Linked DNA regions of Mus musculus. The protein of the gene in region 1 interacts with the protein of each later gene in a biochemical or structural test. Links are inferred from orthologs where the notes say so. Each region holds a gene or a part of one and is shown in the gene's direction. Other genes may lie near its edges.

Region 1 (3,817 bases):
TCTGAGGGTTCAAGCATGGGCTCTGGAGCATGACCGCTTGATGTCAAATCCCGATTTGCCATTTGTGAGTGGTGTCCTCTTGAGCAAGTTTCTTAAGTTGTCTGATTTTTTTCTTAGATTCTTCCTCTTCCTCTGCACGACGGGGAGAGAGAGAGAGAGAGAGAGAGAGAGAGAGAGAGAGAGAGAGAGAGAGAGAGAGAGAGAGAGGGAGAGGGAGAGGGAGAGGGAGAGAGAGAGAGAGTTACATAAGCTAATATCTACTGAGTTATAAATTCAAGGAAATAAAAGGTGGTAGCTATGCCCTTTACAAGTGAATCACCCCACTGGTGGGTGACAGAACTCATTTGAAAGCCCAAGGCTCCATTCACTGTCTTTAGATTCCTGGTTCCATCCTGTCCCAGTTAGTGAATGTTTGGCAGAAGTTGGGGTTAATGGGCATTGCCATCCCAATGTGGATCCCGACTTTGAGAGTTCCTGTCTCTTTCAGCAATACCTGAACACTTTCTATGGCTGCCCCAAGGAGAGTTGCAACCTCTTTGTGCTGAAAGATACCCTCAAGAAGATGCAGAAGTTCTTTGGGCTGCCCCAGACAGGTGACCTTGACCAGAACACCATCGAGACCATGCGGAAGCCAAGATGTGGCAACCCAGATGTGGCCAACTACAACTTCTTCCCCCGCAAGCCCAAGTGGGACAAGAACCAGATCACATACAGGTGCCCAGGAGGGTCTGGGGGGACACAGAGTCAGGACCCTGAGGGATGTGTGCTTCCTTGGGAATTGCCTTCCTAGTTTAGGGGATCCATGAGGTGTCATTCCTCAGAGCTGAGCATTCAGGGACTTTGCATACAGAGTTCTTGATGTGTGGCTAGGTTTGAGTCTCATATTCACTAATGATTGAGGCACTGGTCTTACTCTCTTGCACTTAGAGTTGGTACCCTTGCCAATGAAACAGGGCTAAGAAATCTGCTCCTCATAGGGGCGGTTGAGGAGCTACATTAGATTAAATGTAAATCAAAGGTTTCCACAATGTTTGATACAGAGCAAGGGTCTACAAGTGTTGGTGATTGTCATTGTCATCTGGGTGGGTCACTGGGTCAAGTGGAGGAAGCTTGATGACCAGCTGATAATTGTGTTCTTAATCTTATAGTGGTTTTATGATTGGTTGCTAATTGAGCCAAGACCTCTCCTCTATGTGCCTGGTATCGATCAAGGGTGAGATCTCTGCCTTTTGTTTGATATTGTACTGTTTATTTCTCTGGTGCCCTTGTCCCAGACAGAATGAGGGATGAGAAGGTCTGAGATTGTAGAGACATCAAGGCAGTATAGGAGGGTGTTCTCAGTGAGTTTTGCTCAACACATCTGCTGCACGAGAACACTTGCACACACACACACACACACACACACACACACACACACACACACACACACACACACATGCACACACATGCACACACACGCACGCACGCACACATGCATGCACACACTCTATGCACATAGACACTTGCACAATTGCATATATGCACAGTCGTATGCACTTCTCCCCCTTCTAGGATCATTGGTTACACACCTGACCTGGACCCTGAAACCGTGGATGATGCTTTTGCTCGGGCCTTAAAAGTATGGAGCGACGTCACTCCGCTGCGCTTTTCTCGAATCCATGATGGGGAGGCTGACATCATGATCAACTTTGGACGCTGGGGTAGGCAGAACTGGGCTGGAGAATGGGGTAGCACAGAGACAACAGGGCTAGGTAGTCATTTGAGAAGCATGGGGATCCCGAGGGCAGCTTACTGAGAAGTGTAGACATCGGATGCTCATCAGATGGAGGTAGCAGAGCATGTTCCAGACACTGGAAAGCCACGGCTGTGATAGCAGAGGATGCAGTATAGTATACCCTGCTTGCAGCAAAAACGGACTGCACCCTGTAAATGACAGCCCCTAGATGCATATGGCTACTTGGATATAACATAATAAGAAAGACCTTAACAATTTAAATTCAGTAGTCCCAATAGCAATGCAGGAGGAAGTGGAATAGAATCTGGGGCCAAGCTACCATGTGAGCTGTTGGTATCTGGCAGCAGTATACGTATGAAGGCTGGTGGTATGGATATGAGTAGGTAAAACAATGAAGGTGGAGGGCATGGGAAAGGCAATGTGGACCTGGGGGTAAGTAAGGGAAACATTCTGTTACAGTAGAGTCCGAAGGCTAGCTCTGTGGATAGTGATGACTGTCTGGCATGAGAATAGAGCATAGTGAGGAAGATGGAGTTGATGGGAGGCCATGGATGCCAGGAAGGGATTGGGCTATCATGCTGTGGTGGCACTGAAGACATGTGGGTGGGTACAGTGTTCCTGATAGCAATGAACAGAGCAAAGGTCTATCTGTGGTGCAGGGGAGAGGACCATGTGTCCTCGAGGAGTATGGGCCACAGGATGGGAGCAACCAAGCGAGAGCTTTTCCATTGACTCCCAGTGATGCTTATTCCATAAAACCCCAGTAGGAAATGTGAAAGGGACAGGTATTTGGAGGGCTGAGGAACTCCAAACACAGATAAGGCTGTGGCTGAGCTTAAGGATGCAGCTGTGGGGGCAGGGAATGATAACAGCTAAGAGGCAATGTGGATTTCAGAGCATGGAGATGGATACCCATTTGATGGCAAGGATGGACTCCTGGCACATGCCTTTGCCCCGGGCACTGGTGTTGGGGGAGATTCTCACTTTGATGATGATGAGCTGTGGACCCTGGGAGAAGGACAAGGTAAGATAGCTTCCGTCAGCCTTCATTCCTGTCTCCTAGCAATCTAACCCCACTTTCAGCCCTTCATTTGCTCTGATGGGATCAGGGCAATGGGAGGAGGAGGGAACTCAGCTTTCAGGATGAGCCCATAGCGCAAGGCCCTGAGAGGTGGGTCTCAGGCTCTGTGTGTCCTGCAGTGGTCCGCGTAAAGTATGGGAACGCTGATGGCGAGTACTGCAAGTTCCCCTTCCTGTTCAACGGTCGGGAATACAGCAGCTGTACAGACACTGGTCGCAGTGATGGCTTCCTCTGGTGCTCCACCACATACAACTTTGAGAAGGATGGCAAGTATGGCTTCTGCCCCCATGAAGGTGAGCATCTGCCCTGGCCCCAGCCCTCACCCTACCCAGGCCCTCAGCCTAGCTAGGGGTACCTGCCATGCCTACATCCTCCACATTCCACAGGCCAGCCAACCTTCATCCCCTCATCTAAGTGTCCATTATCCTGCTTTCAGCTGTCACTGTGTCCCGCCTCTACTGTGTTGCTTTAAGGACAGGCACACATTCTAAGAAGTGTGTTGCTCAAGTTCATCGTCACTGTGTGAACATAGTATCCTGACACAAGCTGAGAAGGGAACAGAGTCTCCAGTCAGTCTGACCTCATGGACCACTGTCACATAGGACTCCCACCCTGTGTGTGTGGTCTGTTGTAGCTTAAATGCTATTTTTGTGGTGCACAACCATTTCTGCTTACTTTTTCATATTTAGATAAGTGACTTAGCTTTATTATTTGTGAGATTATGGATTTGATTTATTGATTATTTTTTCTAACATATGGGAGAATGATTTTGAATGTATCAACATTTTTTTGGAGGGCCACTTTATACTTCATACAAACTCTATGGTTCAAGGCCAGGAGGCCAGGAGAAGAGAGACAAGGCCTAGAGACAGATGAAGAGCTTAGCAGTGGGAGAGGAACAAGGCTCAGTCCAAGCTGGTACCTGATCCAAGGAGGATCTTCAGTCTGAGAATATTAGCCATCCCTCCCAAACTGGGCCCACTGTACCAAAGAGAGTCACT
Region 2 (3,917 bases), on another chromosome or scaffold:
AACGAAACGCAGGCAGAAGTAGCACAGACCCATGGCATGGTGGGGAGAGAGTAGGAAGCCACACTAGCAGGTGAAGATTCCAGTTCTCTCGGCCACTGATCTTCTGCCAGCCACTTCATGGTACTGAGCCTCTCAGCCTTCACATCTGCCAAGTGACAAGGCTGAGCTGATGCTTTTAAGGCCCCTCCAAGAGACAACTCTTGGCCTGAGCTTGACATTAGCCTGGACCTGTCACCTGCCTCTCTCTAACTTCGTTCTCTCCCGAGCCCTTTCTTTTCAAACATCACTATCAAATGTAAAATGAAGAGCGGGACAAATCGTATAGTTCAGTCCTACTTAATGGAGAAAAGAGTTCGGGCCCAGTGAGGCCCAGATCACTAACAGACCCAATGGCAGTCAGAATCAGGATCCAGCCTCCTACCCTCCCCGGGCAGCCATTCCACGAGCTTCTTTTCATTCAAATTCTTGGAGCAGTTTGCTGACAAACAGTGGACAAGGCTTGGGTCACAATGAGTGCCTGGCTTGTTTGCTAAGCGGCTCCACCTTCTGCAACATGGCAGTCTCCACTGGGCAATGATGTGCAGTAGGCGCTCTGAGGTCCAAAGTTTGCCCTGAGCTACAGGACACCCCTGTTTTAAGCTCCACAGAAAGAACTGCCCCCCGCCCCCCCCCCCCCCCCCCCCCCGTAGCGGTTAACTAAGGCACTGGCTGTAAGAAAGGGTTTGAAAGCACTGGCTACTTTCTCTGACATCCTTCCCTACCACCCCCCACAGCCCCCACCCCCACCCTTGGCTGACAGCGCCAAGACACACACACCCCAACTTTCTCTGTCCTGTTCCCTGACTGTTTGCTGTTGCTTTGGAGCCTCGTAAATAGGGCATTGAAAACACTTCCTGCAGCTGAAAGAAACCCTGAGTAGCTTGTCTCACTCCCAGTATGCAGCTCAGCAAGGGGTCTGTCCTCCTCTGTCACTGTCTCTTTTGCCTGTTGTAATTCTGTCTGCCTCTGACTTGGCCTGTGTCTCTCTGTGTCTATGCTTCCCTTCACTAGCTCTTGCTCTTAGTGCTCTCCCTCATCTCTCTGCCTTTTCTAAGTCTCTTCACTGGTCTTTGCTTTTTTTTTTTTTTTTTTTTTTATCTCTCTGCCCCTAACTGCAGAATCTTCCTCTACTTCCAGGCTCTTTTCGGAATCTGCAGGTTTCCCTCTGCAACTTCCCAACTGGGTTTGTTGGTCTGGTCAGGAGGGCCTTGGGTCCTGTGGCTGTGGGTGGCCTGGTGCCAAAGGAGGGAGGAGCCCATGGGGGCGTGATTGGCTCTAAAGCCACCTCATAAAGACTGGGGCTGCACGAAGCTTTCTGGAGGAGTCCTGGAGGGGCTGTTTGTTACGACAGGCAGACCCCACGAGCTCAGCTGGGGCTCTGCAGTGTCATGCCCTGGAGTCCCCTGGCTGCGCTGAGCTGGGCGCTGGTGCTGAGGCTGCTGGCTTTGCTGTGGCCCCCTGGACGGGGTGAGGCGTGCAGCTGTGCGCCTGCGCACCCCCAGCAGCACTTCTGCCACTCGGCTCTAGGTGAGTCCATGGTCCTGAGGACCACAGCAGGGGTTGCCAGTAGGAAACGTGGTGTTGGGCAGAGCTTTAGACCCGGAGTCTGAGGGAAGGGGTGGAGCTCAGTTCATGTATGGGTGCCTCCTGTAACAGCTGATAAGTCAGAAATGGGTATTGCTTTATTGACCTTGGAAGTGCAAAGCCTGATTTGTAGAAGTATTCTATCACGGACCTCTCGAGTAGTTTTATCAGCTCAGCTTGGTAGGACCTAGCTGTCTCTGGAGCTATCAAGTAACTTCTAGAACTCCAGGATGCAAGGGGTGTTTGCATTATAACACCTGTCTCCCAGCCTGCAGTTGAGGTTGCCAAGGTGCCCCCACAGGACACATCTTTCTACCTTTGTCTTCCCTTGCCTGGATACCCTTCTTTCACAACTTTAAATTCCTGGCAACTACTATTCACCCTTCATTTTCTGAAGGCTTCTTGATTCTTTGCTGTTCCCTATTTGTGGTAGGTGCTTTTTTTTTTTTTTCTTTTTTAAATAAGGTATTCTCCATTAGATCAAGACTTCTACAGGGTGAGAGCCCTTTCGATGAGCCTTGTGCCTAGCGAAAGTTCAGGCAGAGAGGAAAATCCTTTTTTTTTTTTAAAGACTTTCCAGTGCTGGGGCTGTAGCTCAATGATAGAGCATTTGCCTGTCATGAATGTGGCTTTAGGTTCAGTCTTCAATACTGAAAAATAAAATAAGATACAGTTCTTGATTAGATGTAAAGAAATGAATCTCCTCAATGGAGAATTAGGACATTTACAAATTCAATGAACATTTGTTACTGTTACTTTTAGTGAGCTATGAGGTTCTAAGATGTATAGACAGATGAGTCCCACACCAACTGCTTTGAAGGGACTCCTACTCTTACTACAACCAGGGCTACGGAGAACTTGTGCTCTGGAAACCAATAGGTTAAAAGGCCAAAAGAATACAATGTGAGGACCTAATAGCCCTGAAGGGCTTAAAGCTGGCAACCACTGCAGAGTAAATTCCAAGTCCCTTCTCTCGAATGTGCCATACTGTGAAGAACCCAAAATACTTGAACCAAGAGTTTCCTGGACACTCAGAGGACCCCGGACCATCCAGATCTCAGATGGCATACTCCTACAGTGCTAAAGTTTCCCTTTTTCTGTTCAGTGATACGGGCCAAAATATCCAGTGAGAAGGTAGTCCCTGCCAGCAAAGACCCTGCTGACACTCAAAAACTGATCCGGTATGAAATCAAACAGATAAAGGTACATGAGGGCAGGACAAGGGCTGAACCATGATGGGCTGATGAAGGGATGGGGTTTGTGCTATGGGAGGGACGAACCTGGTAAGAGTCAGGCAATGGACTCTGGTTTCTTTATGAAGGTGCTGAAGTGAATATGAGCTGGTATGGGCTGGGCCCATGGGAACCAAATGATTATTCAGGATGGGGACTTGCTATCTATCCTGTCCTAGAGCTCTTCGTTCATGGGACCTCCCCATCTCCCTGGGATAAATCAAGGTGTAGACTTGAGTGAATGAATGAATGAATGAATGAATGAATGAATGCCAGCAAGGTCATCTGTGCACCAAGTCTGAATTTGAGCTTTGTTTAATGTTTGGATACAAATGAGCAGTTTCTAACCTGCTGCCATGCCTATTACACTCCTGACCCAGTGCTGCCCTTCTGTAACTGCCTTTTAGATGTTTAAAGGGTTCGAGAAGGCCAAGGATATTCAGTATGTCTACACGCCATTTGACTCTTCCCTCTGTGGTGTGAAGCTAGAAACCAACAGTCACAAGCAGTATCTTTTGACTGGTAAGTGAAGGGGCTAAACAGAGTTGTGATCATGACCATGGCCTTTTAGTTAGGAGGAACAGTGAACTCCCTTTCCATTCACAGGAGTCCCTGCTCTAGTGATCCTGGTCACCACTTCACTATGTTAAGGATAGGTTGCTCTACCAACCTAGTTCCATTGAAAGTTTTATGGTACACAATTTTTGGTATCTTGAACCCAAATACATCTCTGGGATGTGTTTTCTGAGTGTTTATCTTGCCCTGTGCATAAGCTTGACCCTAACAGTTCTACCTCCATGAACCTGGTGCTGGGCCAACCTCCTCCATACTGAACTGATTGGGACAGAAAAGTAAATCAGCCACCCATCCAATATCCCCAAGAATATAATCTTGGAATAAATGAATACAATACTGAAGTATTTTGGAATTCAGGAAAAGAGGTGCTGGTATGGTTGTGAACAAGCCGGGAAACTCCACTGTTTGAGTGGGCTCTACAATGGCCTACAAGGTGGAAAATAAAACCTGCAGCCCACAGGGAGAATAGGGAGGAGTTCTACTCTC

What was found.
Region 2: the proteins of Mmp2 (region 1) and Timp4 form a complex in vitro, tested with the Homo sapiens proteins (2 studies listed by BioGRID). The link is inferred for Mus musculus from reciprocal best matches to the Homo sapiens genes MMP2 and TIMP4.

The regions. Positions count from the first base shown.
Region 1 is NC_000074.6:92,830,134-92,833,950, forward strand, and holds part of Mmp2 (72 kDa type IV collagenase preproprotein), read left to right. Parts: intron 1-487; coding exon 488-714; intron 715-1,551; coding exon 1,552-1,700; intron 1,701-2,630; coding exon 2,631-2,759; intron 2,760-2,935; coding exon 2,936-3,109; intron 3,110-3,817.
Region 2 is NC_000072.6:115,249,289-115,253,205, reverse strand, and holds the start of Timp4 (metalloproteinase inhibitor 4 isoform 1 precursor), read left to right. Parts: upstream 1-1,000; 5' UTR 1,001-1,427; coding exon 1,428-1,566; intron 1,567-2,728; coding exon 2,729-2,826; intron 2,827-3,262; coding exon 3,263-3,377; intron 3,378-3,917. UniProt on the Homo sapiens protein: Complexes with metalloproteinases (such as collagenases) and irreversibly inactivates them by binding to their catalytic zinc cofactor. Known to act on MMP-1, MMP-2, MMP-3, MMP-7 and MMP-9.